Tamandua tetradactyla: one gene and its partners. The protein of the gene in region 1 binds, or shares a complex with, the protein of each later gene. Links are inferred from orthologs where the notes say so. Each region holds a gene or a part of one and is shown in the gene's direction. Other genes may lie near its edges. The genes, in order: MYBL2, RBL2, E2F4 and TFDP2.

The links.
Region 2: MYBL2 (region 1) and RBL2 share a complex: the UniProt entries of both Homo sapiens proteins name them as parts of the DREAM complex. The link is inferred for Tamandua tetradactyla from reciprocal best matches to the Homo sapiens genes MYBL2 and RBL2.
Region 3: MYBL2 (region 1) and E2F4 share a complex: the UniProt entries of both Homo sapiens proteins name them as parts of the DREAM complex. The link is inferred for Tamandua tetradactyla from reciprocal best matches to the Homo sapiens genes MYBL2 and E2F4.
Region 4: MYBL2 (region 1) and TFDP2 share a complex: the UniProt entries of both Homo sapiens proteins name them as parts of the DREAM complex. The link is inferred for Tamandua tetradactyla from reciprocal best matches to the Homo sapiens genes MYBL2 and TFDP2.

The regions. Positions count from the first base shown.
Region 1 is NC_135327.1:8,518,812-8,525,923, reverse strand, and holds the start of MYBL2 (myb-related protein B), read left to right. Parts: upstream 1-4,097; 5' UTR 4,098-4,126; coding exon 4,127-4,146; intron 4,147-7,112. UniProt on the Homo sapiens protein: Transcription factor involved in the regulation of cell survival, proliferation, and differentiation. Transactivates the expression of the CLU gene.
Region 2 is NC_135342.1:47,206,678-47,213,853, forward strand, and holds the start of RBL2 (retinoblastoma-like protein 2), read left to right. Parts: upstream 1-4,176; 5' UTR 4,177-4,317; coding exon 4,318-4,560; intron 4,561-7,176. UniProt on the Homo sapiens protein: Key regulator of entry into cell division. Directly involved in heterochromatin formation by maintaining overall chromatin structure and, in particular, that of constitutive heterochromatin by stabilizing histone methylation.
Region 3 is NC_135342.1:60,882,875-60,890,074, forward strand, and holds the start of E2F4 (transcription factor E2F4), read left to right. Parts: upstream 1-4,194; 5' UTR 4,195-4,230; coding exon 4,231-4,365; intron 4,366-4,794; coding exon 4,795-4,904; intron 4,905-5,039; coding exon 5,040-5,201; intron 5,202-5,523; coding exon 5,524-5,567; intron 5,568-6,225; coding exon 6,226-6,287; intron 6,288-6,510; coding exon 6,511-6,808; intron 6,809-7,200. Other genes in the region: EXOC3L1 (exocyst complex component 3-like protein), read right to left, coding at 1-119, 247-364, 444-1,056, 1,540-1,759, 2,185-2,250, 2,515-2,661. UniProt on the Homo sapiens protein: Transcription activator that binds DNA cooperatively with DP proteins through the E2 recognition site, 5'-TTTC[CG]CGC-3' found in the promoter region of a number of genes whose products are involved in cell cycle regulation or in DNA replication.
Region 4 is NC_135341.1:86,245,271-86,252,891, reverse strand, and holds the start of TFDP2 (transcription factor Dp-2), read left to right. Parts: upstream 1-4,602; 5' UTR 4,603-4,688; intron 4,689-7,621. UniProt on the Homo sapiens protein: Can stimulate E2F-dependent transcription.

The DNA.
Region 1 (7,112 bases):
ACTTAGCATAATTTGAGATTTGCCAAGTAATACTACATCGTGTGGATACACTACAATTTATTTATCCAACGACCTGTCGATGGACATGTGGGTTATTTCCAGTTTGAAACTATTACAAATAAAGCTATGTTCAAGTCTTTGTATGGACATAAGCCTTCATTTCTCTTATATAATCCTAGGAGTGGAATGGCAGGGTCATATGGTAGATATAGGTTTAAGTCTTTAAGAAACTGCTATATTGTTTTCCAAAGTGGTCTTTAACAAACCACTAAAGTGTTTTTCAAAGTGGTTGTACAATTTTATACTCCCACCCAAAATATTCAAGAAGTATAATTACTCCCCATCTTCACCAACATTTAACATTACTCTTTTTAATTTTAGCTATTCTAACAGGTTTATAAATCCCAGTTGGTATTAATTTTCATCCTGACAACTAATGATGTTAAGTATCTTTTTATGTGTGTTTTGCACCTAGATATATTTTGAAGATAAGGGTTTGAGGCCAATAGTATTTACTGATAGATCAGATGAAAGCGATGTGAGAGAAGAGTCAAGAATGACTTCATTTTCTTGCCAATCCCTGAGTATTTCCTAATCCTTCCTGCTATGCACTGGCTGCTCCCTCTGCATGAAGTACTATTCCCCACAATGGCTACCTTGCAAATTCCTTAAGTCACTCAGTTTCGAAAAGCCTTCAAATCTGCTCTTGGTTAGGCACCCACAGTTCTTGTAGTTGATCTTCACCCTTAAATGGCTAATTTTCTCTTTACTCCTTGTCTCCCCTATCAGCTGGTGAGTTTCTGGAGAGTATGCATGGTTTGGATTATCTCATTATGATAGCCTAGCCTCAATTATTTCAGCATATTTTCACAAACAGTACTTTCCAAATAAACATTTCAAATTGTGGGTGCTTTGCTGCAAGCTGGGTAATCATGACAACTTAACATCTTTGTGCCCAAGTTTCTTTATCTTTAAAATAGGGAACCACATAGTCCCTGCTTCACATTGAGGTGAGCGTTAAATGCAAGATGACTGTAGAACATGTGCCACACGTTTTCTTCCCCAGTAATATCTGGCACATGTTTTCTTCCCCAGTAATATCAAGCTATTATTTTCTGAACTGAATACTTTGCTGTTCCTTTTCTGGAACTCAAACAATATAACTAATTTGCAAATAGTGTTTTACTGAAAAACAGTCCTTTGTTTCAAAGTCTCTCTCAATGTTCTATACCACACAAGATAAAGTTCAAACTAGCATTCCAGGTCCTTTCAGTTCTGGTCCCTGCCTTCCTAACTCTCCACCTGAAATGTTAGTTTGTAACATTAAATTCACTCAAATTAAAAAAATGTGTGAAACTCCTTCCATGACTACCTGCCAAGAGTCAAGCAATAGGGTAAAGGTCTGAAGCTAAAAATATGATTGTGGAATTGCCCTCTGCACTGGAGAGAACCACAAAACTGGGGGTAGAGTAAGTGTAGTTAGGAGGACACATATGACAAGGAGGGTGCTCAGTAGGTAGAGAGGGAAAGACTCCAGGCAGAAGGGCCATGGGATGCTACTCATCATTTTTTATGTCCAGCCTGGTGCGAGGCCCTGAGCATTTAATAAATAGATTTGATCCTTGACTTCCCAATGCAGGAGCAAGGCTTGGGTCTGGGACCTGGGGTGGAGCAGACTTGTCTTCCAGGGGCAGACTGTAGAATGACCAAATGGCTGATGCCTCCCTGCCTGAGAAGGGCATGGTCAGGAAGTCTGCCAGCAAAGTACAGTTTGTGTGTTATTAATTCTGGGCCCAGGGACCATTCCCTGGTGAAGCTACATCCAGGATGCAGGGAGTTCTTTCTTGGGGTGGGGAGGAGGTGCCTGTTGGTATGATAACTAGAGACAATATACTGGTGGAGATTACCAGATTTCAGCTGGCACTAGGATGATCTCCTTGCTGCCTGAACACCTGTACCGACTCCAGGCCCCTCCCACTCCAGTGACTGGTCAAGGGGCCTCAGTTCTAGGTTCCAGGTGGACTTCAGTTGCTTCCTGCCTCTTGCTTTGGGCAAATATCCTGAATCTACTGCCAGGTCTTGTCCATCCCTGTCCACATAAGAGTGTGTGGTGTGTGCAAAGGGCTCCCTGGACCTCAAAAGAAAAAGTGAGGGTAGCAGAAATGTTACAATAATAAAAGCTAATAGTAATAGGGTACTTATTATGTGCCAGGGACTGTCCTCAGTGCTTTGCACATACTAATTTATTCAATCTTACAACCACCCTACAGAGGATACCAGTGAAGTGATTACGAGCATAGACTCTAGAGCTAGACAGTGCAGTTTCGAATCCCTACTCTGCGATTCACTAGCTGTGTGACCTTGGGGAAGCCTGTGATTCAGTTCCTCCATCTGCCCAAAGGGGATAAAACTAATGACTACCCCATAGGGTTATTATAGAGATTAAATGAATAAATGTTTATAAAGCACACAGAACAGTGGCTGGTACAGAGTAATAGCTATTGAAGTTTTTAATAAATGCCTTTTTTGTGTGTATGCTATATGGCGGGGTCATATGTCATTATTTTTCCATGTATACTGTCATTGCAGCACCACTTGTTGAATTTGTTTATTTGTTTTATGGGAAGTGCATGGACCAGGAACCAAACCCGGGTCTCCCGCATGGCAAGCAAAAATTCTACCACTGAACTACCCCTGCACCCCCCAGTAAATCCCATTTTTGTAGATGAGGGAACTGAGGTACAGAAGAGTGATTTTCCACTAGTAAGTGGTGGAGCTGGGATCCAAACTCCAAGCAGTCTGGTTGAGAGCCGGAACTCTTAAATTATGCTCCAGCAGTGAAGAGGGGGTGTCCACATGAATTACTTTATGAGAAAAGTAATTACATTGAGGTGGGAGGAGCTCTGAATGAAGTGATGTGGAAGGTTCTAGCACTTACCATGTCAGTCTTCCTCATGCTGTGGTAAGTGTGCCGCTGCTGGCCAGACTGGCCAAGGTGGCCAGCAGTTTCTGAAAGAGGGATCCATAGCACAAGCAGGGTCTCCCAAGCTCCTGCCCCATAGTTCATTCACTTTGGCCCCAGCACTACCAGGGAGTCCTGGGTGCAACTCATGGCAAATCCTCTCTATACTTCTAGGAGTTTAAGTAGGTAAAAAATTAGAGTCAGCTCGATAGACGTTTACATGGGGCCTTGGCCAAGGTTTGAGCCTGGGGATAGCGAGGGGGCTCCAGAGGCCTTTAACCCCAGATGTTCACAGTTCAAAGGGGGAATCACGCAAGTGAACAAGCAGATTGCGGGCAATGGGCAGCAAAGATAAATAAGAACTGGCCAAGTTGGAGGGGTGGAAAGTGTCTCTGGTCCAAGCAATGGCAAGAAGGCTAGGAATTTTCCTTTGGCCCCGGGCGGGAGGGGAGGGCGGTGATCGCGCAGAATCCTGTAAGACTGAATAGGGAGTAAGGAATTTACCCGGAGGAAGAGAAGCGAGGGCTTCAAGTTCTCGGAGACGGAAGGTCAAGTTTGCATTTTAAAAGGGTCGGTTGGGCTACGAGGAGACTTCGAGGCTGGAGAGGAAACGGAGACGAAGGAGCAGCCCTGGTCCAGGTAGGGGCTTGTGGGGACCCAGGAGCGCCACTCGGACTACTGGGGCTTTTGCACAGACAGTGTGCCCGACGTGACTATCCGTCGTGGAGCCTCCCTCGCGCTCGGCCTGAGCCAGGCATCAGTCACACGGCAGCCCGCGGCGAATGGCAAGTTCCAAGACGCCTGCCACTCTCACGCTTTCCCGGGGCCCGGGGGCTCTGAAGTTCTCGGGTTCCGGGCCCGTGTGGCCCCGCCCCGCCCGCAGGCCCCGCCCCCCACGCACGTCCTCCCGCCCGCGCGTCAGGCCCCGGAGGCGCCGTCGCGCTTGGCGCGAGATAGGAAAGTGCTTCTGTGCGCGCCGGCGGCTCGGCTGCCCCCGCAAGCGGGCGGCGGGACCTGCGGACAAGCTGACGGCGCCCAGCCCGGCCCGGGGGCCCCGAGCGGCCGGAGCAGCCCGCGTCCTGGCCCCGGCCTCGGCCCGGCTCCCGCTCCGGCTCCTGGCTCAGCCGGCGGGCGGGCGGGCGCAGCGCGGCCCGGGCCGGGGGGATGTCTCGGCGGACGCGCGGGTGAGCAGGGCAGGGCGGGCTGAGGGTCCCCTGCCCTTCCCCTCCCCCCACCTTCCCCACCTTCACCCATGCCTTCGCCGTGATCCCTCTGTGGGGGTTTCCGCGGGAAATGCTGCCGCCTGGGCGGTCAGAGGCACGGGCGCGCGCGAAACCGGGGGGCTCTCGGGAGCCCCTCGCTCCGCTCTTCGGGCCTCCTCAGTCTCCGAGCCGTGGCGGGCGGGTCTCCTGGGACCCGGGCCAGGCCCTGCATGATGTCATTTTGTCTCCCGCCTAATTACGGCGTGGGGGTGGGACGGCCGGTGTCAGCTGGAAAGGCTTTTACATGGGAAGGAAGCGATCCCTGGAGAGGGAAAGTGACCCTTCGAGTCACAGTAAAGTGGGAGGTTAAAACCTGGAAGACATCCTTCAGACCTCAGTTACGTGCACATTTGCGGGTGGGCATTTCAACCCAGCATCCCGGGAAGCATAGCACCCCAAACCCTCTGCCGCGGCCCGAGGAGGGTGCTGGCCGGGGGCTCTTTTGTCTCCTCCATCTGGGCTCCGGGCCCGGACAGGTTTAGCTGCAGAAACCCCTCTTCCTGTTCTACTCGGGGAGTTTTGGCATCTAGGTTTGCAGGTGAGGGGAAGAGAGCCAGATGTGTATGGAGTCCGCTGGGAGCCAGCAGCCCCTGGGGTAAAGGCAGGAACTGCGGTCTCTTACTTATTCACTCGGAGGATAATTGGCAGAGTCGAGCTTGGAGCCGGGTCCATGGGCCCCAGTTCCCTTTGTCACACTTGTGTGCCTGGGGCCTGAGCTCTGGGCTTTTTGGCCAATCTGGGAGTCAGGGGACAGTGGTATTCCACCCCGTTCCCTCCCTGGAATCGTTTGGCCCAGACAAACCTTAGACCCACTGCAGATGGTGGTGTTCACCTTCTGGGTGGAGGTTACAGACCTTGACTCATAGCTGGCTTTCCCTGCAGTGCCTCTTAGCAGGGAAGTCCCATCCCTGGGCAGTGGCAAGGTCCCTGACACAGGGACTGTCTTCCTCAGGCCACAGTATCCTAGGGCCCGTCCAATTGCCAGGAGTAGTTTTCTGGTCCCTGGAAGTACTGGGGCACTTGTCAGACCCTGTCTGATTTTTGGTTCAGGAAGTATTGCTCCAGGAAGTGACTATCCCCACTCCATCCCCAGTTTCTCCGCAGTTGCATCTCCCCTGAAGCTTAGTGGAGTAACCTCCCCCCACCTCCTGTGTGGGGGATGGGTCCCCATCCTAGTACCCCCACAACCCTTAGCTGGTTTCCTGGCCATTTACTGTAATTATCCACCCCAGTGCCCTTGTTCCTCCTTAGGCTCTGACTCACCCTGGCCCTGGAACAGAGCCAAGCACAAACAACAAAGCAAAAGAAAGGATATGTGGGACTGAAATGGCAAGTGGCTTAACACTATGCGCCTCCACTTCTACATCTGTTAAATGGGAGTAATGGTAGCGCATATGAAGGGGACAGCCAGCACCATGTCCTGTGAGTATATTATCTCACAGGACTCCCTCAGCTGTCTGAGATGCTGTCCCATTAACAGAGCCCTGAGGCACCAGTTCCAGGCAGACACACCTTTAACCCTTTAGGGAACATTTGTTGAGCTCCCGCTAGAAGCTACACCCCATGCTGTGTTGCTGGAGAAGCAGAGGCGATTTCTTTCAACAAGTAGTTTGGGGCAGCTTAAGCCAGTTTCGTTTTGCTTTTAATATTTTGTAAATTTTCTGCCTGCTACTTTGCAGTGATGGAAGGACCCTGTACAGTGGGGTGCAAATGACGGGATGAAGCTGATTAGTTAAACAAGCTTGCTTCCTCTCCTGTTTGTAAAAATTTTGCTTGAACATTTCTTGTCAGCTAATAGGCAGCAGTTCCACATGTTTTTTCATTTTTTGTGTATCCGGCCATTCCCTGAGCAAACACTCATTAAGGCCCTCCATTGCCAACCCACATCTGGTCCTCTGTGGATGTAGAGATGTTGCTGACCCAAGATAATCGTAGAGGAGACAGACAGCTGCAGCCTAAGAGCCTACATTCTGAGACAGTTTTTCCGTTGTGCTGTAGAGCGACTCTAGGAAGTGATGCCAGGTTCTAGCGAAGAAGGGGAAAAGAACATGGACATGAAAGGAAGCCTTCTTCCTTCCTCTGGGCACAAGTCCTGCGATCGCCTTGGTCATTTGGAGATGTCTAGGCTTTTCTCAGTTTACGAATTCCTGACTTAAGAGTACACGTTATGAAGGCGACCTGGTGTAGGGCCCTGATGCATGGCGTTGGAAGGTTACTAACCTTCCGTGGGCACCTGACATCCCTGGAGGTGAGCAGTGTGAACCCCATTTTCCCAGCCATTAAAATTATGAGGCTTTTGGAGCAACTTGGAAAATTGCCTGTTCTAGAATAAAATAATCCATAATTCTCTGACTCTGCCTGTGTGTAGGCAAAGATTGAAAAGGAATATGCAGAAATGGAAATACTTACTGAGATAATGATTTAATTTTTTTCCCCAGAAAGTTAGTACTTTCTTAAAATCCTGTTATAATCCGTGCATAATGATTACATTTATCATCAGCATTAATCCCTACTCTATCCATACAGGTTGCGGGTATTCTGCAAGTTAAAAAAAATTGTTAAATCCAGAAGAAAAACATGAAATGGGAGTCTGGTTTTGAGTGTCAATGATAACATTCTGGGTGAAACCTTAACCTTTTTTGGGGGGGTGTACCTTTTGAAACATTAAAACTTTTGTTAAAAGAAAGAGGATGAAGGAAAAAAACCACCCATAACCACATTTAATTAAAATTAAAAAGAAGAGTAGGGTGGAAGTGCCTGATTTTTTCAAAAGTATAGAAGTGTAAAGCCTTCCTCCCCCAGACCTTGCCCTGGAGCTGACAGGCCGCCGCCAGCACTCAGTGCCTGTCGGTCAGGTAGCATTAAGTGAGAGTACGTGCCCTTGACCT
Region 2 (7,176 bases), on another chromosome or scaffold:
CATAATTCAAAATAAAAAGTTAAAAAATGGCTCATTTTAAAACCTTACCTCTTTCTTTGAAGAAATTTTAATGTCAGCTATTAAATTATTTTAGCTTCTTTTTTATTGTGAAAAAGAACATATATACAAAAAACTTCCAAGTATATTTTAACAAGTAATTATAGAACAGATTTTAAAATTTGGTGGATTACAGTTCCACCAAATTTTGCTTTTTCTTCTAGCTGCTCCAAGACATTGGAGACCAAAAGAAATATCAATATAATGATTCAGAAGTCATACTCATTTGTTAAATCCTGTCTTCTCTGTTATAATCTTCTTTCTCTCTCTCTCTTTTTTTTTTTTGGTGAAAAATAGCATATATATATATAAAAAGCAATAAATTTCAAAGCACATCACCACAATTAGTTGTAGAATAGATTTGAGAGTTTGGTATGGGTTACAATTCTACAATTTTAGGTTTTATTTCTAGCTGCTCTAAAACAAATATCAATATAATGATTCAGCAGTCAAACTCATTTGTTAAACCTGACCATCTTTGTATAAATCCACCATCACCTTTGATCTTTCTCCCACTCTTTAGCGGTATTAGGGCTATGCCCATTCTAACTTTTTCATGTCGGAAGGGGCTGTTGATATTATGGGATAGAGAGACGGAACTAGTTGATGTTCTGGAGAGGCTGGCCCCTCTGCATTACAGGACTTATCTGGTCCAGGGACCCACCTGGAGGTTGTAGGTTTCTAGGAAGTTACTCTAGCGCATGGAACTTTTGTAGTCTTATAAACACCCTAGGTGTTCTTTAATATTGGCAGAAATGGTTTTGGTTGGAGTTTGGCAAGCTATGCTAGGTAGCAATGTCTAACTGAAACATGACTAAGAGTGACCTCCAGAGTAGGTTCTTGACTCAATTTGAACTCTCTCAGCTGCTGAAACCTTATTTGTTACACTTCTTTTCCCCTTTTGGCCAGGATGGCATTGTTGATCCCACAGAGCCAGAGCCAGACTCAGCCTTGGGAGTCATCTCCCACACCACTAGGGAGACTTTCATTCCTGGATGTCATGTCCCATATTGGGGGGGCGGGGGGCGGACAATGTTTTCACTTGCAGAGTGGGGCTTAGAGAGAGTGAGGCCACATTTGAGCAACAAAAGAGGTCTTCCAGACGTGGCTCTTAGGCATACCTATAGGTAGGCTAAGCTTCTCTGCTACATACAGAAGCTTCACAAGAGCAAGGCTCAAGATCAAGGGCTTGGCCTATTGATTTGGGTGTTCCTAATGTTTGACACAGTATCCGGGGTTTCCCTGGAGGTAAAGTTTAATAGCTTCATATTTTTTTCTCCCATTCCTCAAGGGGCTTTGCCAGTACTTTTTGATTACCTACTTAATATACTCTGGGATGTATCCTGGCATTACATTAAGCTATACAGGATTCAAGACTCTCATTCTTATTCTGGGCTCCCTGTGTGTGGATTGTTTAAATGAGTTATCTGAGCTAGATTATGTGCTACTGAAAATTTAGGTTCTGGACAAAATAAACCTTTCTTCTTTTGGTCTCAAAGAGCAGGTGAAGTTCTAAAATATAGGCAATTTCTTCCTTACCCCTGTATTCTGAATTATCTTAATCACAACCTGATCAGCTTTGTTCTTATCTCTAAAAAACAGGTTATACATATATAAAACAGCCCCTCAATGTCCAGAAATAACAATCACCACTCCAGACTAACTGCTATAAAAGCTTATAATCTAGGCCCCAGTTTTCTTATAACTATTTTCTAAATGAGACCATACGATATTTACTCTTTGGTTTCTTGTTGTGGCCATGTTTTGAACATACAATCTGCAACCAATTCTCTTGAAAATACTGATGTTAAATATTTTTAAACATTTTATTGTGGAATATAACATATATACAAAAAAGCAATAAATTTCAAAGTATACTGTAACAAGTAGTCATTTAATAGATTTCAGGGTTGGTATGGGTTACTGTCCCACAATTTTAGGTTTTTCCTTCTAGCTGCTCCAAGACACCGGAGACTAAAAGAAATATTAATATAATGATTCCACAGTCATACTCATTTGTTAAATCCTATCCTCTATTATAACTCCTTGCGTTAGTTTGCTAGCTGCCAGAATGCGATATACCAGAACTGGAACAGCTTTTACCAAAGGGGAATTTAATAAGTTACAAGTCTACAGTTCTAAGGAAGAGAAAGCGTCCAAATTAAGGCACCAACAAGAGATTACCTTCACTCAAGAAAGGCTGATACTGTTTGGAACAGCTCTGTCAGCTGGGAAGTCACATGGCTGGCGTCTGCTGGTCCCTAGCTCCTGTGCTTTGTCGTTTTCAACCTCTGTTCCTGTGGGGGCTCCTCACTTTGCTTCTCCAGGGCTGGCTCTCATCTCTTGACTTCCCTTGGCTCTCTTTAGGTTCTGACTTGCTTAACATCTCATGGCATTTCCATATCCATGTTTTCTGCCTGTCAACTCTGCTCTGAAGTTTCCGTCTGCTCTGTCATTTCTGACTCTTACGTTTCCTCTTTTAAAGGATTCCAGTACACTAATTAAGACTCACCTGGAATGAGTGGGGTCACATCTCCATTTAATCAAAAGGTCATGTCCACAATTGGGCGTGACACATCTCTGTAGAGATATTCTAATCAAAAGTTTCCAACATACCGGATTAAATGAAACAGCTGCCCCAACAAGACTGAATCAAGATTAAAACATGGCTTTTCTGGGGGAACATAATATTTTCAAACCAGCACACTCCTCCTCTTTTGATCCTTTTCCCAATCTTTAGGGGTATTTGGGTTATGCCCATTCTAACTTTTTCATGTTGGAAAGTGGTGTCAATAGTATGGGATCAGGGGATGGAACTAGTTGATTTTCTTGGAGAGGCTGGCCCCTCTGAGTTTCAGGACTTATCTGGCCTAGGATTCCAATTACAGGTTGTAGGTTTCTGGAAAGTAATTTAGTATGTTCAGAGAACATTTTAACAATTAGTTATAGAACAGATTTCAAAGTTTGGTATAGGTTACAGTTTCACAATTTTAAGTTTTGCTTCTAACTGCTCCAAGACACTGGAGACTAAAAAGAAATATTAATATAACCATATTAAAATAAATCATATTCTAATAAAATACATATGTAATGGGAATAAAGTTTAAATTCTACTAAAAATAGTGAAGTTCATTTTACTTCAATAAACAATTCAAGTTTTACCCCTGGTAAAGTGTGATAATAGTATACAAAATAAGTAAGATCATTATTTTAAAATTTAGTATCTCCATCCTAAATATAAGGAAAGAGAACTTTTACAAACTTCTTTCAAATGCGTGTAAACTGTTTGTGTAGGGCTTCTATTCTTGTCCCAGAGTCACCTTGAAACTGAGCATTGACAAAGCAAATTCAGTCCTAAAAGGGTCACTAATTAATGTGAATTTTACCTCAGGTTTCACAGAGAGGGTTTCATTGTCTCCAAACTGTCCCTAAGGTGTCTTGTTATCTAGCCAAGTCTCCCCTCTCTATCCTCTCTCCTCCCCCTATATCTTCCATAACTCCTTTTTTTTTGTCCCAAGCAGTTTAGTTCTCTACCTCAGTTTACATACCACACTGCGCAAAGCAAAAATAGCAAGACAGCAATTCTTATTTAATACACACACACACACACACACATACGCACACACACACACACACACACACAGCTTTATATAAAGTTAAACCAACTGGGTGGCTGAGAGTAGTACACATATGTGAGTTAGACGGAATGTAAAGTCACCCTATGGAAAAAAAATAATTTCTGCATTAAAAAAAATCCAATAGCTACTTTAAAGGCTCACATAAAATTAAAACATAGGATAAAACTAGAAATTAGGAGCGGAGTGGAGATTTGAATTTAGGCAAATAAGCCCTTGCTGTTATCTTAATTTTTTAGATAAAGAAACCCAGGTTACGAGGAGTTATGATTTCTAGGGACAGCTTGAACATTAAACCTTCATTGTCAACGTTTCTTGGACATTTTCTTTTTCTCTCTGCTAGATGGTCTCGCCGTGGAGAGGCACTTAAAACGCGGAGAAACCCTTTTGCCCAGGGGTGACGACACAAGTTTTTTACGTAATTTTTGGCCCACATAAGCCTCCGGACTGGACTACATTTCCCAGCAGGCCGTGCTCACAACTACTGGAGCCCATAAGAGGTCCCGCGCCGTTGGTAGCAGCGCAGTCGTGGAGAGAGCGACTGACGGGCGGGCGCTTCACGGTTTGAATGGCTCTGGGTCCTGGCCCTCGACTATCCTGAGGACCAGCCGCCCTGGGGTGCGATATGCCGTCTGGAGGCGACGAGTCGCCGCCGCCCCCGCCTCCCCCGCCGGCGGCCGCGGCCTCAGAGGCTGAGGAGGAGGACGACGACGGTGAGGCGGGGGAAGTCGCGCAGCCGGCCGGATCGCCGGCCACTCAGACCCAGCGGCGGTTCGACGAGCTGTGCAGCCGCCTGAACATGGACGAGGCGGCGCGGGCGGAGGCCTGGGACAGCTACCGGAACATGAGCGAGAGCTACACGCTGGAGGTTCGTCTGTGCGAGGAGGCGAGGGGGCTCTCGGGGCCTAGTGGTTGTGTCCCGCTCCGGAGATGGGGCCCCGCCTTCTCACCCCGGACGGGGCGACCCGCAGGGACCCGAGGAGAGGCCCCGGGCGCCCAGCCTGGAGCGGGATGGGAATCCTTTCTGCCCACTGTAGTCTTGGAAATTAGGCTTTTAAAAGTCTCTTAGCGGCTCTGAGGGTGAATCTGGTCTTGCTGCTCTTTCCTCTTGGCTCAGAATGGGAAACACGTCTTGTCCTTAAGTAAAACGGCGAGGCTGAGGTTGTACTGCAGTCACCATTACAGAAATGGGCCTGTGTGGTCGTTTTGCAGCCCTGAGTACCCGATTGGCAGAATGAACATGTGTGGTTGTCAACACTGTACTGAGAAGGGAAGGAAGGGGATTTGCCCAGGTTCGCTCAGCGTTTGATCCGATTTTAGCGCCTTAGGTCTCTAGGCTTCTCCTCCACTTCTTTTCCTGTTGTACCAAATTGCTTTCATTGAGGCATCGAATCGTTTGAATTAATGTATTGTTAAATTTCGTGCCGTGTTTATGTACGGTAGTAAGACTAATCTTCCTTAGGTCAAGTTAAATGAACTTTTTGCCTACCGGGATATAGAAGCACGCCCCCACTAATCACCAGTGAGTCAGAGCTGCGACTGCTCTGAGGATCTTTTTTGGTCACCTCAGACATTGCACAGGACATGTCATGACCCAGGCATGTCATGTCTCTTTCTTCGTATGGGTCGCACAGATGGGAAAAATGGTCATTTAGCCAGTAATCGTCAACTGAGCAGGCGGTCTCCTCTTTTTGGGCCGAATGGAAAGTGGTACGGAAGTCCGGGTGGTTTATCAGCTGTTTCACTGCCCGTGTGTCTGGCGTTTACACATGAGGCCATTTGTTTTTCTTAAGTTGTTTCATATGCGGTTTGTGGAAAGAGTAGGGCAAATAGGCCCAGGGTGTGAAGATCTACGTTATTATTTAACTCGGTTGTGTTTTTGCCTAAAGTGTAATTGCTGACAAAGGTTATTTTTTTAAAAAATTTTATTGCATTAATAGAATTTTATTTCATCTACTACCCCCTCTTCCCCTTTGTTATATCTACCGAAAGATAGAGTAATATACTTGGGGATTTGACAGACCTAGATGACTTGAGACAAAACTGCTACAAAATTCAAATTTGTGATAAATAAACGGTAGTTATTTTTACCTACCTCACAGAGCTTTTCTGAAGGTTAAATAAGGTAATGTGTGTTCCTGGTACATAGTAGGCACTCATATGGACAGTGCTTTAGATCTTACAGAGTTCTTTCATGTACTCAATGATATGGCTGGAAAGACCATGCTTTTCTTTATCTCTCAGTGCTTTCTGTCCTTTGGTCTGGCAAAGAGGACTCCTTTTTTTTTTTTTTTTAATTTGATCAGGGCCTAAGGACCTCCAAGAAGCTCTTATTTTACCCTCAGGATAATCCTGCAAATTAGGTACAGCCAGCATTATCACCATACTGTAGAACTATTCCGATATATAAAGGTTAAGTTTTATGAAGGCCAGCATTATGTAAGTGCATAGCAGATAGGAGGTAAATTATTTTTGAAAACACATTCTATTACTTGAGTTTTTGAAAAGACTCCAGTTTCAGTTTCTTAGCTCAGTTTACCCAGTTAATGCATGAAACTCCATCCATTTATCAAATATTTCTTTGTTTTGTGTACACTGTTTTAGGTACTGAGGATAAAGCAATGAAGAAAACTGGTAAAAATTCCTACTATGGTGGACATTATATTTAGATATGATGTGAGATAACATGGAATGTCATTCTCATGGAGTGTACAAAGGAAAATAAAGCTCACATGATATTTAATACAGAATACTGGTTATAGAGTTGTACTTTTTGATTGCTTGTATTTTCTGAGCTTTATGATTAATTCATTTAATTCTCATTATCCTTAGGTAAGAAAACTGAACCTAAGAAGTTTTCCCAAGGTGTTGTAAATATATGGCAGAACCGGAATTCAAACCCAGATCTACTTGACCCCATAGGTGTATGACCATGAGTTGTTAATTTTGAGAGTGACGCCTTTTTTTGGTGGAGGAGGGGAGTTGTGGGCATCAGGGGCTTTTCAACAAACATTTTTTAGGACCAAAGGGAAACCAGGTACGGAGCCTGCTTTTAACCTGTCTGTAGCCTAGTAGACCTACATTAATTAAGAAATAGGTCCTCAGTCTACTTTGTTCTTTAAGCACTATAAAATTATAATATGTAAGACTAATTTTGTTTCTTCTTTTTGGGAATGATATGGTTGTAAATTCCCTAGAACCAAAATAGACCATTAAAAATCATCTACTGCAAACCTTTCATTAAAACACAGGATAATGCTGTGACTTAATTTTATATTAATAAGATATGTGGATGTAAGAGAGAGAAGTTCAGTTGTAAATTAAATTTTGTTTTGACTTTTTGTTTTGAAATATTTTAAACTTGTACAATAATAAAATAATACAAACCGCATACAAAGAACTCCACCATACCTCATCCTTCTCCCCCAATACCCAGATCCACCAGTTTAAACTTTTTTTTGCCATACTTGTTATATCATTCTGT
Region 3 (7,200 bases), on another chromosome or scaffold:
ACGATGGCTGGCATTGGTGAGTAGTAGAAGCCGGATGGGTCCATGTCTGGCTCCTGTTCCTGGCCCCACTTGGCTACCTCCCCATCCAGTGCCTTCTGCAGCCACTGGGCCACACTTGCCTGGGGAAAGGGGTAAGAAGCAGCAGGAGGTAGCAACGCACTGACCTTGCCAGAGACAGTGACTGTACAGACAAAAACCTACAACTAATGATCAGGGCTGCTCTGGACCCATGCCCCAACCACTCACCTGGACTTTGGCCACAAACGTTGTCTCCAGCCACTCCACATCCTCCAGGGACAGTAGGGGCTCCAGCTGAGACACATCAGCCTCTGGCCCTAACTCCAGACTCCCCATCATTTCTGGCCTGAAGATGGGTAGCTGGGGGTCATAATGAGTCCCCAGTCTCCAATCCACCCACTTCCCGCTGCCCTCAGGGCACTGACCCCAGGTACACATGCAGGGCCCAATGCAGAAGGGTGAAGGCGTCAGCAGCACCCAGCTCAGGCCCTGCAAGGACCTGCTGCAGGCTGCGACGCAGGCCTCTGTGCAGGGTATGAGCCCATAGCTGGACCACCTTGTAGTGCGGTGGGCAGCAGGGTGCTACTAATGCCTCAGCTGTGGCCAACTCGGCTGGCAGTGCCACCTGCAGAGCCTCCAGCCACTCTGCTAGGGCACCTGGCCCAGGCAGTAGATGTGTCCCAAAGTGGACCCGCTCCAGGCCGTCCTGTAGAGCCTGCAGACAGCGCTGCCGCCAGTTCCGGGGGGCCTGCCCCAAGGCAGTTGTGCGTCTAGTCTCCACCTCAGCCACGCGCACAGCAGCCACCAGCAGGGCAGGGTCCTCCCGGGCCAGCTGTCCTGCAGTTCCTGCAACCATCTCCACAGCCTGGCCCAGTGCCTCAGCCAGAGGGCCTAGCCCCTCAAGATCTGGCAACTCCAGGTCCCCTAGGTGTGCCCAGGTCTCCTCTCTCAGCTGCTCCAGCTCCCGCAGGCTCACATATGCCTCGAGGAGTTGCTGGGCATCAATCAGGGACTGTGTGTGGGTCACTGCAGCAGGCACTAATGAAGAACACAGGAGACAGCCCTGGTCTCAGAGTTAATACCTGTGCAACAGGTGCAGCAGGTGAGGAGACCTGGGCTGGGGTGATATGTAAATGTTAATAATCAGTACGGTGGAACACTGGCCCATTGGAAGGGCACAAGTGAAATTCTAGAAGCCTGGTGGACCATGTGTGGACCCTTGGGCTGATGGAACAAGAGGAAGTCAGGGATTCCAGAAGAAGTTAGGGACCACACAAATGGCTTTTCACCCACCCTGTTAGGAAAATAGTTCACTGTAACCAGGGTGCCTGTGTATCAGTCCTAATTCAGACAACCCATGCTTGGAAAACCCAGGATGAACTGAATTACATATGCTTCACATGTCATTTGAACCCTGGGAGGTTCCTGGTGTGTCCCTCCATGTGATCCCCACCTAGTGCCCCAGCCCCTTGATCAGTGAAGGAGCTGGAGAGCTGAGGCCTGGGACCCCAGCACACTCACCTGCCTGCAGCCGGGGCAGCAGCTGAGACAGGGCCTTCAGTTGTTTATGTTGGGCCACCTGCTCCTGCAAGGGTGCTAGGGTCTCTGCAGACTCAGCCATGCTCTGGAGCAACCCACAGGCCTGGCCCAGGGCCTCACGGGCTCCCTGCATGGACTCAAGGGCCTGTGCCAACTGCCCCACACCAGTCTGCACGCCCTCCAGGTACGACTGCATCACTGACTGTGGGAGGGAAGCCATTAGTGAGGCCTGGACAACCCCGCAGCACATCTCCAGTACTCCTGCTCCCCCAAACTTCATGCCTACTTTGATGCGAGCTTCCAGGGAGCAGGTGCGTTGCATCTCGCGGCTACGGTACTGGCCCAGCCTGGTCAGCTGCTCGGGCCGGTAGAAGATGCCGGAGGCCCACTTGAGCGCGGCACCCCGGGCCAGCTGCTCCGCCTTCTCCTGCTCTGGCCACTCAGGCCCTGGGCAGGAAGAGCCTGGGCAGCTGCGTCAGTCTGGCAGGGCCTGCAGGAAATGTCTGCCGAACCTGCCCCCCTTCCCGCCTGTCCCCTAGCTCCAACCAGACCTGCCAAGGAAGGACCCAAGCCCACGTTCCCATCTTCCTTCCTTCATCCCTCCCCCAGCCCACCCAGGACTCATACCAGGCAGAAGGGCAGGCTCCATTTCGTCCTTGGCAGAGTCCACGGCGGGCCCTGGAGGAGCTGGAGCTGCGGTAGGAATGCAAGGCAAGGATCTGGGTTAGAATGAGCTCAGTGGATGCTCCTTTGAGCTGCAGCCTCTGTCTAGGCCCCTCTAAGAAGGCGGAGGGTGGTTTTTGCCCAGCCCCCTCCGGAAATGAGAGGGAGGCCTTACCTGCTGAGTTTCCTAGTTGTGCTCCTCCAGACACAGTGAGGCAGGGTGGGCACAGGCCTCCGCTGGGCCCTGTTCCTGCTCTGAGTTGCAGGGGACAGTTTGGTGAGTATGGGACTCACCAGGCTTGCATAGGCACTCAGTTCCCCCTCCTCTGCAGACGGCCTTGGCCTTGATGATGGCTCTGTCTCCTCCAGTCCTGCAGCTGAGCTTCTCACTCCCTTCCCTCCCTCACAGGGTCTGGGTGACTCCAGCCCACTCCTGGCCATGCAATAGAATCCCTGTCCCTGGGGAAACCTCTCTCCCACCTCCCAGCCCCCTTCTCCCTCCAAGGCCCCTCCCTCCCCAAGGCCACACACAGAAAGGAAGGAAGCTGAGTCTCTGGTGCTTTATTCCCAACAGGAAAGAGCTTCTGCACTGTGGGATGAAGTGGGGAGGGCTGGGGCCACCTCCATGAGGGTTGGGGGCTGGGGGCTGAACTCTCTGAAAACTGCAAGTCTTGTCCAGCCCACTTCAGGACCTCCTTCGTGCTCAGGACCCAGGCATACCTGGGGCGGGGGTTGGGGTGGGGTGTGCAGATATGGATGCAGACTACAACACTGCGGTATGAAGTGTGTTGATGGGAAAGTGCCTGCCTCTGCAGAGGAGAGTAGCCACAGGCTGTTCTGAAGAGGCTGTGTGGTAGGTGATGGTATGAAGGGGGTCACAGGCCTTGAAAGCCGTGCCAAAGAGGTGGCTTCTTGTCCTCAGAGTTGTAGGGAGTTTTGGAGGGACTAGAGGATAGTACTGGGTAGCGGCCACTGTACCTCCCAAATCTGCCCTACAGGCCTGAGGGCTCACAGCTGCATCTTCTCGGTCATTATTAAGGTACATAGACCCAGATCTTTGTCTGGATTTAGAACATCTCTGAAGGGCCAACCCAGCTTCAAAACTCCTAATGGGATGGGCTGAGGGCTCTATTATAACTGCATTCTAACTTAATTCCTTTGTCTGCCTGATTTCGGCTTCTTGTACTCCCTTAGAAGCGTGGATCCCTGGTAAACTTTTTGCAAGCATATCCATGATTCAAGGTCTGTTTCCCAGAGAACTTGACCAATAGTAAAACATAATAAATAACAATGTTAAAAATAAAATGATACTAGCAAGAACATATTCCGCTCTCCGTGCCAGAAACTGCTCTAAGTGCTTTACACACATTTACACGTAGATAAACATGTTTGCATGGGCTAAAAAGTGGTTGTAATCTTATGGCAGCAACTAGACCTTTGAGCGCTGTGGTGTGGAGCAGAGAAAGAAGGAAGAAAGAAAGAACTGAGGCTGGGACCAGAGCAGGAGGTTTGGGATGTAGAGGAAGTGGACAAGCTAAATGTAGTTAGCGCTGGCTGTTAGGAAATGAAGGACAGGAATAGGGTGGGGCAAACTCCAGGAAAAGGTTTAGGAGAACATATTGGGTTCAGCAAGCAGGGTGGTCTCCTCTCCCAAGATAGGGTCTGGAGCGGAGTTAGCAGTGTTAAGGAAGGTTGGCAAGAAAGGTTCCGGTGACATTCCCTTCTCTACTGCGGGGGCCATCCACTGACGTCCTCCTTAGCCCTCCCAACTCTGTCCTGTTTTCGGGATCTCCGGTTTGTTTTCGCCCTCCTTGGCGGTTAAATTTTTCCGACGGTTCCTAACGTTTTGCGGCGGTGCTCACATGAAGGAATTGCGCCAAGTTCCCTGGAAGGGAGGAAGCGGAAGCAGGGTCGCCGGCACCGGCAGCCGGTCGACCAGGAGCGGAAGCGGAAGTGGCGGCGGCGCCGGCCTGGCCTGGCCTGGCTGAGGGGAGGCGGCGGGCGGGCGAGATGGCGGAGGCCGGGCCACAGGCGCCGCCGCCCCCGGGCACTCCAAGCCGGCACGAGAAGAGTCTGGGACTTCTCACCACCAAGTTCGTGTCGCTTTTGCAGGAGGCCAAGGACGGCGTGCTTGACCTCAAGCTGGTGCGGCCTGGGCTAAGGGGACGACCGGAGGAGTTGGTGGTGGATTAGGCCTGGCCGGGAGCGGGAACCCCTGGGGCGGTCCCACTGCATCTTCCGAGAGCAGGCCGCCATCGTGTGCTTTCTCACAGAAGGGAGGTCCCGGAGATGTTTCATTCATTCGGCAAAGGGCATTGAGCGTCAGCTGTGTGCCGGCGCGGGGCTGCAGGTGCTGGCCCTCGTGGCTGGCTCTGTGGTCCCAAGTTATGTAGTGCCTGAGTGGAGGTTTGGGACTCAGGTTGCCCCCTTGCCAGACAACTGCACATCAAGTCTCAAGGTAGCTGGGGCCTGCTGACCTGACGGATGCAGTGGGAGTTTTTGTCTAATAGATACGTGGCTAGGAGTACACCTGGGAAAGGGGCTGACCACCCTCCACTCTGTTCTGTCTGCCAGGCAGCTGACACCCTAGCTGTGCGCCAGAAGCGGCGGATTTATGATATTACCAATGTGCTGGAAGGTATCGGGCTGATTGAAAAAAAATCTAAGAACAGCATCCAGTGGAAGTGAGTGGGGGCATTTAGGATCTCTTATGCAGAAGTGTCAGAGGCGTAGGGTGAGGGAGGGTGTGTGCAAGTGAGAGCAGGGGCCAGGGGACTCAGTTCCTGGCAGCCTCTCTCAGCTCCGTTTCCTGGGCTCAGAGGTGTGGGGCCTGGCTGCAATACCCGGGAGATTGCTGACAAGCTGATTGAGCTCAAGGCGGAGATCGAGGAACTGCAGCAGCGGGAGCAAGAACTGGACCAGCACAAGGTGTGGGTGCAGCAGAGCATCCGGAACGTCACAGAGGATGTGCAGAACAGCTGATATCCTGCTGGCAGTCTTTACTTTGGGGGCATGGGTGAGGGGCCCTCTGGTCCAGATGGGTTTGCTCTCTGGTGCCCTTAGCCCTGTGTCTCTTGGGAGGATGCTCCTGAGGCTTCTGGCTGGATCGCTTCCTTGGGTTCCCTCCTCAGAGTTCCTTCCCCTCCAGACTTGGCTTGTCGTCCCTCCCCATGTGGACTTCAGACTCCAGTACTTTTTCTGAGGGTCTTTATCTCAGACACCTGCTAAAAAGCTGTGTCCTCTCTGTGGTCGCCATTCTGTTACCATAGACAGGGCATCCACCGTTCTCCTTAACCCCCACACCTTGGCCTACGTGACTCATGAGGACATCTGCAGATGCTTTGCTGGTGAGCAGAGCCTGGGTAGGGGGAGATGGGGGTGGGCCTGGGTTGAGCCACAGCCCTGAGCATTGGGCTCAGTGCCCAAGAAGAGTTCCATCTCTTAGGAGGGTTCCTGGGCCTGACCAAAGAGAAATCAGGCATGGGTAAGTCTGTAGTCCCCACCTGCACCATTCCCTGGGCTTGGCCTCTTGGGCATGATGGAGGGACAAGGAAGAGAGAGCGTTTGTGTGTGTGTGTGCGCACATTCGCATGTGTGTGCATGCTTATATGCAGGGGACAGTGGTGTCCACTTCTAATGATAGCTTAGTTTCATGTGGGTACAAGAGCCGTTCCTTCTCTACCTTACATCCCCTAGGTTGTTCCTGGGGAAGGGATGTTGGCATTAGAACACCTGAACTTAGGGAACAGCCCCATCAGTGCATCAGTGAGGTATTCCTGACTACCGATCTTTTGCTTTGTATATTTGAACCCATATTTTCTAGTTACTGGCCACTGGACTCTTGGTGAGAGAAAAGCTTCAGCTTCCTACCCCATCCACTGTGGGGTGTGGGTGAGGCCTACTGTCTAGCCCCTCAGAGACCATGATCTGCTGCAAAGGGCAGGCACTCTCATTCCAGCTGAAGTTGAGTCTGTGGGCTCTGACCCATCCTTCCTCTCATTCTAGGAGACACCCTCCTGGCCATCCGGGCCCCATCGGGCACCAGCCTGGAGGTGCCCATCCCAGAGGTGGGTGCTCAGCTCAGGCAGGCGGGGATGACTGAGGGCGGGTGCTGGCTGTGGAGCCTGATAAGTCCCGGGTGGGGCAGGTAGGGGGAGGCCTGGGGTTTGGGGTTATCTAGGAGGACGGGCAGCCTGGGGTGGGAGAGGACACTCTGGCCCTGACCCAGGAACAGGCAGGAGCCAAGTCTGGTCCCAATACCTGTCCACCATCCCTACCCCCAACCTCCAGGGCCTCAATGGGCAGAAGAAGTACCAAATTCATCTGAAGAGTGTGAGTGGCCCCATCGAGGTGTTGCTGGTGAACAAGGAGGCCTGGAGCTCGCCCCCTGTGGCTGTGCCTGTTCCACCACCGGAAGATCTGCTCCAGGGCCCACCTACTATCTCTACCCCTCCACTTCTGCCCAAACCTGCCCTGGCCCAGCCCCTGGAAGCCTCACGCCCAAGCAGTCCCCAGCTGACCACCTCTACCCCTATCTCCTGCAGCACCGAGGTCCAGGGGGTGGCCAGCCCAGCAGCTGAGAGCACAGGTGAGGCATGATTGGCAGCTAGTGAGGAGGTTATTTCCTGGCACCCAAGAGCTGCACCTTGTGTTATGGAATGCGATGCCAGAGCTGGAAGGGACCCTGTTGGAGTTGTCCTTTTCCTAGCCCCCACCTGGCCTCTCCTTGCTATGGCAGTGAACAAGCTCTTTTTAACAGGGAAACTGTTTGATGGGGCCTTCTTATCCCCCCACCCACCCATATCCACCTGTGCCTTACTTTCCCTGGCAGCCCCTCCTGAAGTTTGGCCACAGCAGCCATGTCACCCATGAGTTCCCTCCAGCAGGCCTCATGCTTTGCCTCCTTCAGTGACTCATTTCCAAGTTACCTATTCTGGGTATCTGCCAGTGCCTGGCTCTCCTTTGGCCTGGGATTTAGGA
Region 4 (7,621 bases), on another chromosome or scaffold:
GGTCTCAGCAGCACATCCTTAAACCCACTTTCCCTCCTTCAGGTTCCCTGCTGTCTAGCCCAGCACTCCTGTTCTTTGGATTCATCTATCAAAATTACCTGCACATAAGAGCTTCTCTCAGGGGAAGAAGGGACGGAGACTAGGCCAAGATCTGTGCCTTATCAGTTGCTAAGTATTTTGCTTCTCACCCTTGTATGTAACTAATGACATGTGCAAGAATATTCATAGTGGCAGATTTTATAATGGATAAAAAAGATGTAAAGGACCCAAATGCCCTATCAATAAGAAAATGGATTATGTAAATTGTTATTTTTGTGTGAAAATGAATAAATTGCACTTAGCAAGAGAGATGATGTTAAACATAATGTTGAGGAAAAAAGGGTTTGTGGATAAATAATGGCTTGGCACCAAATACATGAGGTGCAAAAACATGCGAAACTAAAGAAGAGATTTGGCTAGGAGCACACAGGTGTCCAACTCAGAAAGAGAAACCCGGGATGGCGGTGCGGCCTGGGTGCCGGGCTCCTCTGGGAGGGCAGCGGGGCTGGTGGGGACGCCGGGGCGGCAGCTCTCCTCCTCAGGCTGCTGTGAGGGTCCAGCCAGAGTCCTCCGGCCTCACATCGCTTACTGTACATGTCTGAGGATGAAGAAGATATTTTATCGTAAAAAGGGCTTTAGGTTTGGGATTAAGAAGCTGCCTTTATTCCACGTGGCTGTGAAACCCTTCCCGTCCCCTAACAGTCACCCCAGAGGTGGACTGGCCTGGCCCCAAGGTGGCCCGACTGCCCACAGGACGTGTCCCCAGGGCAGGTCCGACCTGACGCTGGGTGTGTCGTTTCCCTTGGCAGCCCCGGGCAGATTAGGTGCCACGGGGCACTTAGAAGCAATCCTCTCTGGACCCCGCTGACCCTGGGCTGTGTCTGATGAGAAGCTGTGACCCAGCGTGTGGCTGCCTGCCCTGCGGCACGCCAGGAAGCGTGCTGGAAAAGCGGCCTACACTGCGCCCCAGAGCTGCGGGTCTGAACCCCGGCTGGAACCCCCTACGACTCCTGAGCGCATCCGTGTGGGAGAGGCCACAGGCAGGTGTCCTCACAGCCCACGCAGAAAAGAGCGTCCAGCGCCAGGAGTGGATGTGAGGATGGAGCGGTGGCAGGTCACCTGGTCTGTGACAGGTCACCAGGTCTAACTGTGGCAGGTCACCTAGTCTATGGTGGCAGGTCACCAGGTCTAAATGTGACAGGTCACCAGGTCTAACGTGGCAGGTCACCTAGTCTATGGTGGCAGGTCACCAGGTCTAAATGTGACCGGTCACCAGGTCTAACGTGGCAGGTCACCTAGTCTATGGTGGCAGGTCACCAGGTCTAAATGTGACAGGTCACCAGGTCTAACGTGGCAGGTCACCTAGTCTATGGTGGCAGGTCACCAGGTCTAAATGTGACCGGTCACCAGGTCTAACGTGGCAGGTCACCTAGTCTATGGTGGCAGGTCACCAGGTCTAAATGTGACCGGTCACCAGGTCTAACGTGGCAGGTCACCTAGTCTATGGTGGCAGGTCACCAGGTCTAAATGTGACAGGTCACCAGGTCTAACGTGGCAGGTCACCAGGTCTAACGTGCCAGGTCACCAGCTCTCAAAGTGACAGTCACCAGGTCTAACGGGGCAGGTCACCTGGTCTAGCTGTGAGGGAGGCTGGTCTTCCTCACACGGCGCTTGGCCCCCTAGTGGACAGCCCACACAAATGCAAGTGGGAGATTGACCCTCCTTCTTCCCCGACGCCCTCGGCCGCCGCACTCTCATCCCTTCCATAACACCTGCTCTTCTTCCCTTACGCACCGAAGAGACAGTAGCGAATACAGGGTGACAAGGCTGTGACCCCCCCAGAGTCACAGGATTCGGACACGAAGTGCGCAGTCACGAGTCCGGTGAGTGTCAGGAAGGCCGTCTGAGTCGCAGCGGAGCACAGCTGGGGTGGGGCTAGACGAAGCTTTTCCGGAGAAAGTAGTTAAGCTTAGACAAGAACTAGGGGATCGCTCGAAGCACCAGAAACACCAGATTAATGGAGCTTTTTGGACATTTATATTTACTTCTCCAACGCCCGCCACTGTTTCGGGCATACAGTAACTACTTCCTAAGTTTTTGCTGAATCAATAAGCTCGATTCTATCACGGTTTAGACATCTACTCGCCAGAACCGGGAGATGGTGGAAGCTTCATTTTCCTTTTCAGAGAGAAGAGGATCCTTTAATGGGGAAGTGAGAACGAAGAGGGAAAATTGACTGTTGTGCAAATTGCTCAGCTGGAGTTATGAGTGGGAAGGAAAATTTGATTTACATGAAGTTTTCCTCCCTGTGGCAACTTGATGATTTATTCTGTTCTAGAGAATTTTCAGTTTTTGGCTTCAAAACCAGGCTGTTCCTTATTCTGAATTTCTTGGCCTGCTGTGAAATCGGCTTTTATTGTCTTTTACAGCACGTTCTGATGAGCTCATGGAAATTCACAGCTAGATCACACCAGTATATGGGAAATTTGAAACTTGGTCCATTTTACGTTGTGGTATTAGGAAGTGTTGTGAAACACCTACACATTTTTTTCAAAATCAATATTATTGAATGATTATAACAATTTCCATCATTTCTTGAATATTTACTATATATATTATATAAGCAAAATCCTCATATTAACTGCAAGAAAGGGGAACTGCATGAAAATTGTCGAATACTGCCAATTTCATATGATTCAATTTAGTATTACCTTCACTTCACTCTTAACCTTAGAAACATTAATCCCCGATTTCTAAACCATACCCTTACCGCATAATTGGGCATACTTTTTTTTATAGATAAGAGATATACTGACAACTACAGCTTCTCAATAATGCCTTGCCGCCTAGTATAGTCCCCGAGCCCCAGTGTGTACTTGCACCATCGCTGCCTGACACGTGTATTGGGGGTGGGAGTCCCGTTCCCTGGCTGACCCAGTTCCTGGAAAGGGAGGTTCTGTCCGCCTCAGTCGTTTTTGCATCTTCAGTGCCTAGAGAGTTCGATAACTATTTGCTAAATCAAATTGAATATAACCTTAACAAAATTTCTTGTAGGCACTAAATAGATCCTTATGATTTGTTAGTGGAAAATGTAAGTTAATCGCTCCTCCGGGATTTTGGCATTTCAGGACTGGGGGAGTCCTGCATCCGGCGTTCTTGGATTCCGAGCCCTTTACCTAAGCGCAGTTACGCAGAAATTGTCCCCCACAAAGATCCACGGTGCTCTCGCCCCTCCATCCTCGTTTAACTGCTGTCTTCCTTGATCACCGTTTTTAATACTGAAGCCACCTGTGAGCACCTTCTATAATTAATTTTTCCGTAGCCTTGCCAGCATGTAACTTTCTATTCTGCTTATTTTTTCTCTATGGTCTTTCCCACCCCACTAGACCGCAAGCTCCACCGAGGCCAGCGGGTCTGTTTTGTCCACAGGTGTGTCCCAAGCATCAAAAACAGTGTCTGCCCTTGTGTCTGATGCTCCTTTTATCCGTGTATGGGCAGATGAGTAAAAAACAAAGATGAAAAACAAATAACAGGGGGGATAAGGTGTAAAATGAATTGGGTAGATGGGAATACTAGTGGTCAATGAGAGGGAGGGATAAGGGGTAGGGGACACATGATATTTTAATTTTTTTTCTGGAGTGAGGCCAATGTTCTAAAATTGGCCACGGTGATGTGATATGTGAACCGCTGGCTGTACACCATGGCTAGACTGTACGTGCGTGAAGGGTTCTCAATACACTTTTTTTTAAAGACATACTTATCAAGTGAAAAGTAAAAAAGAGCGTTTATGGGAACAGAGAAGCGCGGGAAGCCCGGACCCGCGCCGACTCCGAAGAGGGCGGGGCGGTGTGGCGCGCGGCCCCGCCCCAGGCGGGAGGGTTGGGGCAAGGTTTGTTTATCTTCGCACGCACGGCCGGCTCGGCCAATCCGCCGCGGGCAACGCCTTGCGTCATGCGTCCAGCGGACCAATGGGTGCGCCCCGTGCTGTCCCGCCGCCAAAGGGGGCCACAACGGCCCGACGGCGCCTCGTGGGCTCGGGGCCGCGGCGGGAGCACACTTGCCGGCCGGTCGCTGCCCCGCGGGGCCGGGAAGGGCAGCGTCCCGCGCTTGCTCCGCTCGCGGCGCGGGGTGACCGCCGTGGGCCCGCCCTCTGTCCGCTCCGCCGCCCGGCCCGCGCCGCGGAAGGGCCGCGTTCTCCGCGGGCCTCGGAGGCGGGGCTGGCCGGTCGCTCCTCCTCCGTCGCGGGGCCGGGTGTGGTGTTCCTGAGGGACGCCCTGGAGGCCAGTGGAGGGAAGGGCCCCGCGCCGCGGTCCTCCTTCCCCGGAGATGGCCCCCTCACGCAGACGCAGCCTCCGCCCGTCCTCGGCGAGGCAGAAGCACGACCTCGGTGCCGCTCGGGACGACCCGGAGAAGTCGGCGTGGAGGACGGCCCGCGGCAGCCCGCCTCCCCGGTCATTGGGCCGCCTGTCGCGCGGCGGAGACACCGCCCCCGTGGCTGCGCGCGCCTGCCCCCCCCGCCCCGCCCCGCCCCGCCCCCAGCCCGGCGGAGATGCGCCGCCCGGAGCCGCCCCCCGCACGCGCCTCCCGGGGCCCCCAGGGCCGCGCCGCCCGCCGCCTTCTGGGAGTGCAGGGGCAGCGGCAGCGATGGGGTGCGTACGTTGGCTCGTCGAGTTCCGAGACTTGCTAACCCTCCCTTCTCAGCTTTCCTCCTTTCTGCTTGTTTACGTAGGAAAGAAAGCTGAAACTTTCTAGTGTGCAGGACTTCGCATTGCCATTTTGTGATCCTGTCATTTTCCGCCAACTCCTGTGAATGTGTGGTCCAACGGGCTCCTTCGTATTTTCCCGTTACAGCCGAAATTCTGAAACTACCTGGTCTGTGTACGCTGCAGTGCAGCTTGAAATGGGGTGTAGCAATAAGCTCACCTTTCATGTGGAAAGCGTGTGCTTGTGGATCAAAGCTGTACGCTAAAACATACCCTAAAATGTTCAAAGAGCAACTTGTTTAATTAGGAATTGAGATGTTAGAAATACTGTCTTGTTTTGTACATAATGCATGAATTATATTTACATAGCACTTAGCTGTTTTAAACATTTTTTATTATGATATATATACAAATCAATAAATTCCAACGTTCATTGTATCCAGGAGTTATAGAACAGATTTCAGAGTTTGGTATGGGCTACTGTTAACAGTTTTAGGTTTTTCCTTCTAGCTGTTCCAAGACACTGGAGATGAAAAATATCAGTATAATGATATTATATTGTTTATGTTATATTGTTAAATCCTGTCATCTCTGTTACAACTCCTCCTTCTCCTTTCATCCTTCTCCCAGTCTTTATGGGTTGTTTGGGTTATGCCCATTCTAACGTTATCATGTTGGAAAGGGGTGTCAAGAATATGGGCTCAGAAGATGGAACTAGTGAGACTGGCTTCTCTGGTTTTCAGGACTTATCTAGTCTAGGATCTCATCTGGAGGTTGTGTGTTTCTGAAAAGCAACCTTAATTCGTGAAATTTTTGTAGACTCTCACATAGAGTCGTAGGTGTTCTTTAGGGTTAACAGGAATGGTTTTGGTCACAGTTTGCAGACCTTGGTAATTAGCAATAGCTAGCTGAAGCTTGCATAAGAGCAGCCTCCAGAATAGCCTCTTGACTCTGTTTGAACCCTTTTAGCCACTGACACATTGTTTTGTTACAGTGTTGTTCCCCCCTTTGGTCAAGAAGGTGTTGTCTCTTCTGTGGTGCCAGGTCCAGGCTGGTCCCTGGGAGTCATGTCCCATCCTGCCAGGGAGACTTTCACCCCTGGATGTCTTGTCCCACGGTAGGGGGGAAGGGCAATGATTTCACTTGCAGAGCTGGGCTTGGAGAGGGAGGCACATCTGAGCAACAAAAGAGGTTTTCTGGAAGTCACTCTTAGGTATAACTATAGGTAAACTTAGGCTCTCTGCTACAGAAATAAGCTTCACAAAAACAAGTGTCTAGGCACTTTGCTATTTTAAAAGGCTTTTTATGTATTTGAGAGTTTTTAGAACATGGTAAGCAAATAGAGTAAGAAAAATAAAATAAACAAAAAAGGTGGTGAACTAGAACCTAAGTATTCTGATTTCTAGTCCATTGTTTCTTTTATCATTATAATTAGAGAAATTGTTGGTTTTCAGAACAATCATGTAGAAAGTACAGAGTTCTCACAAACCCATATACCTCCCCTCTACCTGCATGCCTGTCGTTTTCCATATTACTAACAGATTGCATTAGTGTGCTGCTTTTGTTTCAATTGATGAAACGGTATTACTGTAGATAAACTATTAGTTGTAGGCCATAGTTTACATACATTAGGGTTCATTCTTCAGGTTGTTCAGTTCTATGGTTTTTTAAAATTTTTATATGATAACATATAGATACAACTAAGAATTTCCCATTTTAACCACTTTCAAATATACATTTAAATGGTGGTAATTGCATTCACTGTGTGCTACCATCACTACCATCTGTTATGAAAACTTTTCCATCACCACGTAGAGAAACTCTTTACCCGTTAGCATTAATTCTTCAGTCTTTGACTCCATGGCATCCTCTGGTAACCTGTGTTCTAGTATTTGACTTTATGAATTTGCACATTCTAATTATTTCATATCATTGAGATTATACAATATTTGTCCTTTTGTAGCTGACTTATTTCATGCAACATGATGTCTTCAAGGTTCATTTATGATGTAGCATGTACCAGAACTTCATTCCTTTTTGTGGCTGAATAATATTCCATCATATATATATATATACCACATTTTGTTTATCCATTCATTATTTGATGGACACATCGGTTGCTTACCTCTTTTGGCAGTTGTGGCTAATGCTACTATGAATATCAGAGTGTAAATATCTGTTTGAATCTCTGCTTTCGATTTTCCTGGGTATATACCTAGCGGTGGGATTGCTGGATCATATGGTAGTACTCTAGACTTCTGAGAAACAACTAAACTCTTTTTCACAGTGGCTGCACCGTTTTGCCTTGCCACCAGTAATGAATGTATATTCCTGTTTCACCACATCCTCTCCCACACTTATTATTATTATTTTTAATAGTGTCCATTCTAGTGGGTGTGAAATGGTACCTCATTGTGGTTTTGATTTGCATTTCTCTAATGGCTAATGATGTTGAGCATCTTTTCATGTGCTTATTAGCCATTCGTATATTCTCTTTAGAGAAATGGCTATTCTAGTTCTTTTGCCCATTTTTTGATTGGGCTGTTTTGTCTTTGTTGTAGAGTTGTAGGATTTCTTTATATATTCTGAATATTAAACTCTTATCAGATATATGTCTTCCAAGTATTTTCTCCCATTCCATAGGTTGTCTTTTTGCTTTCATGATGAAGTTTTTTGATGCACAAAAATTTTTAATTTTGATGAGGTCCCATTTCTCTTTTTTTCTTTTGTTGCTTATGATTTTGGTGTAAAGTATAAGAAACCGTGGCCTAACATAAGAAAACATGTTTTATTCTAGGGTTTGTATAGTTTGGGTTCTTATATTTAGATCTTACATCCTTTTTGCATTAATTTTTGTAAATGGTATGTAGTAAATGGTA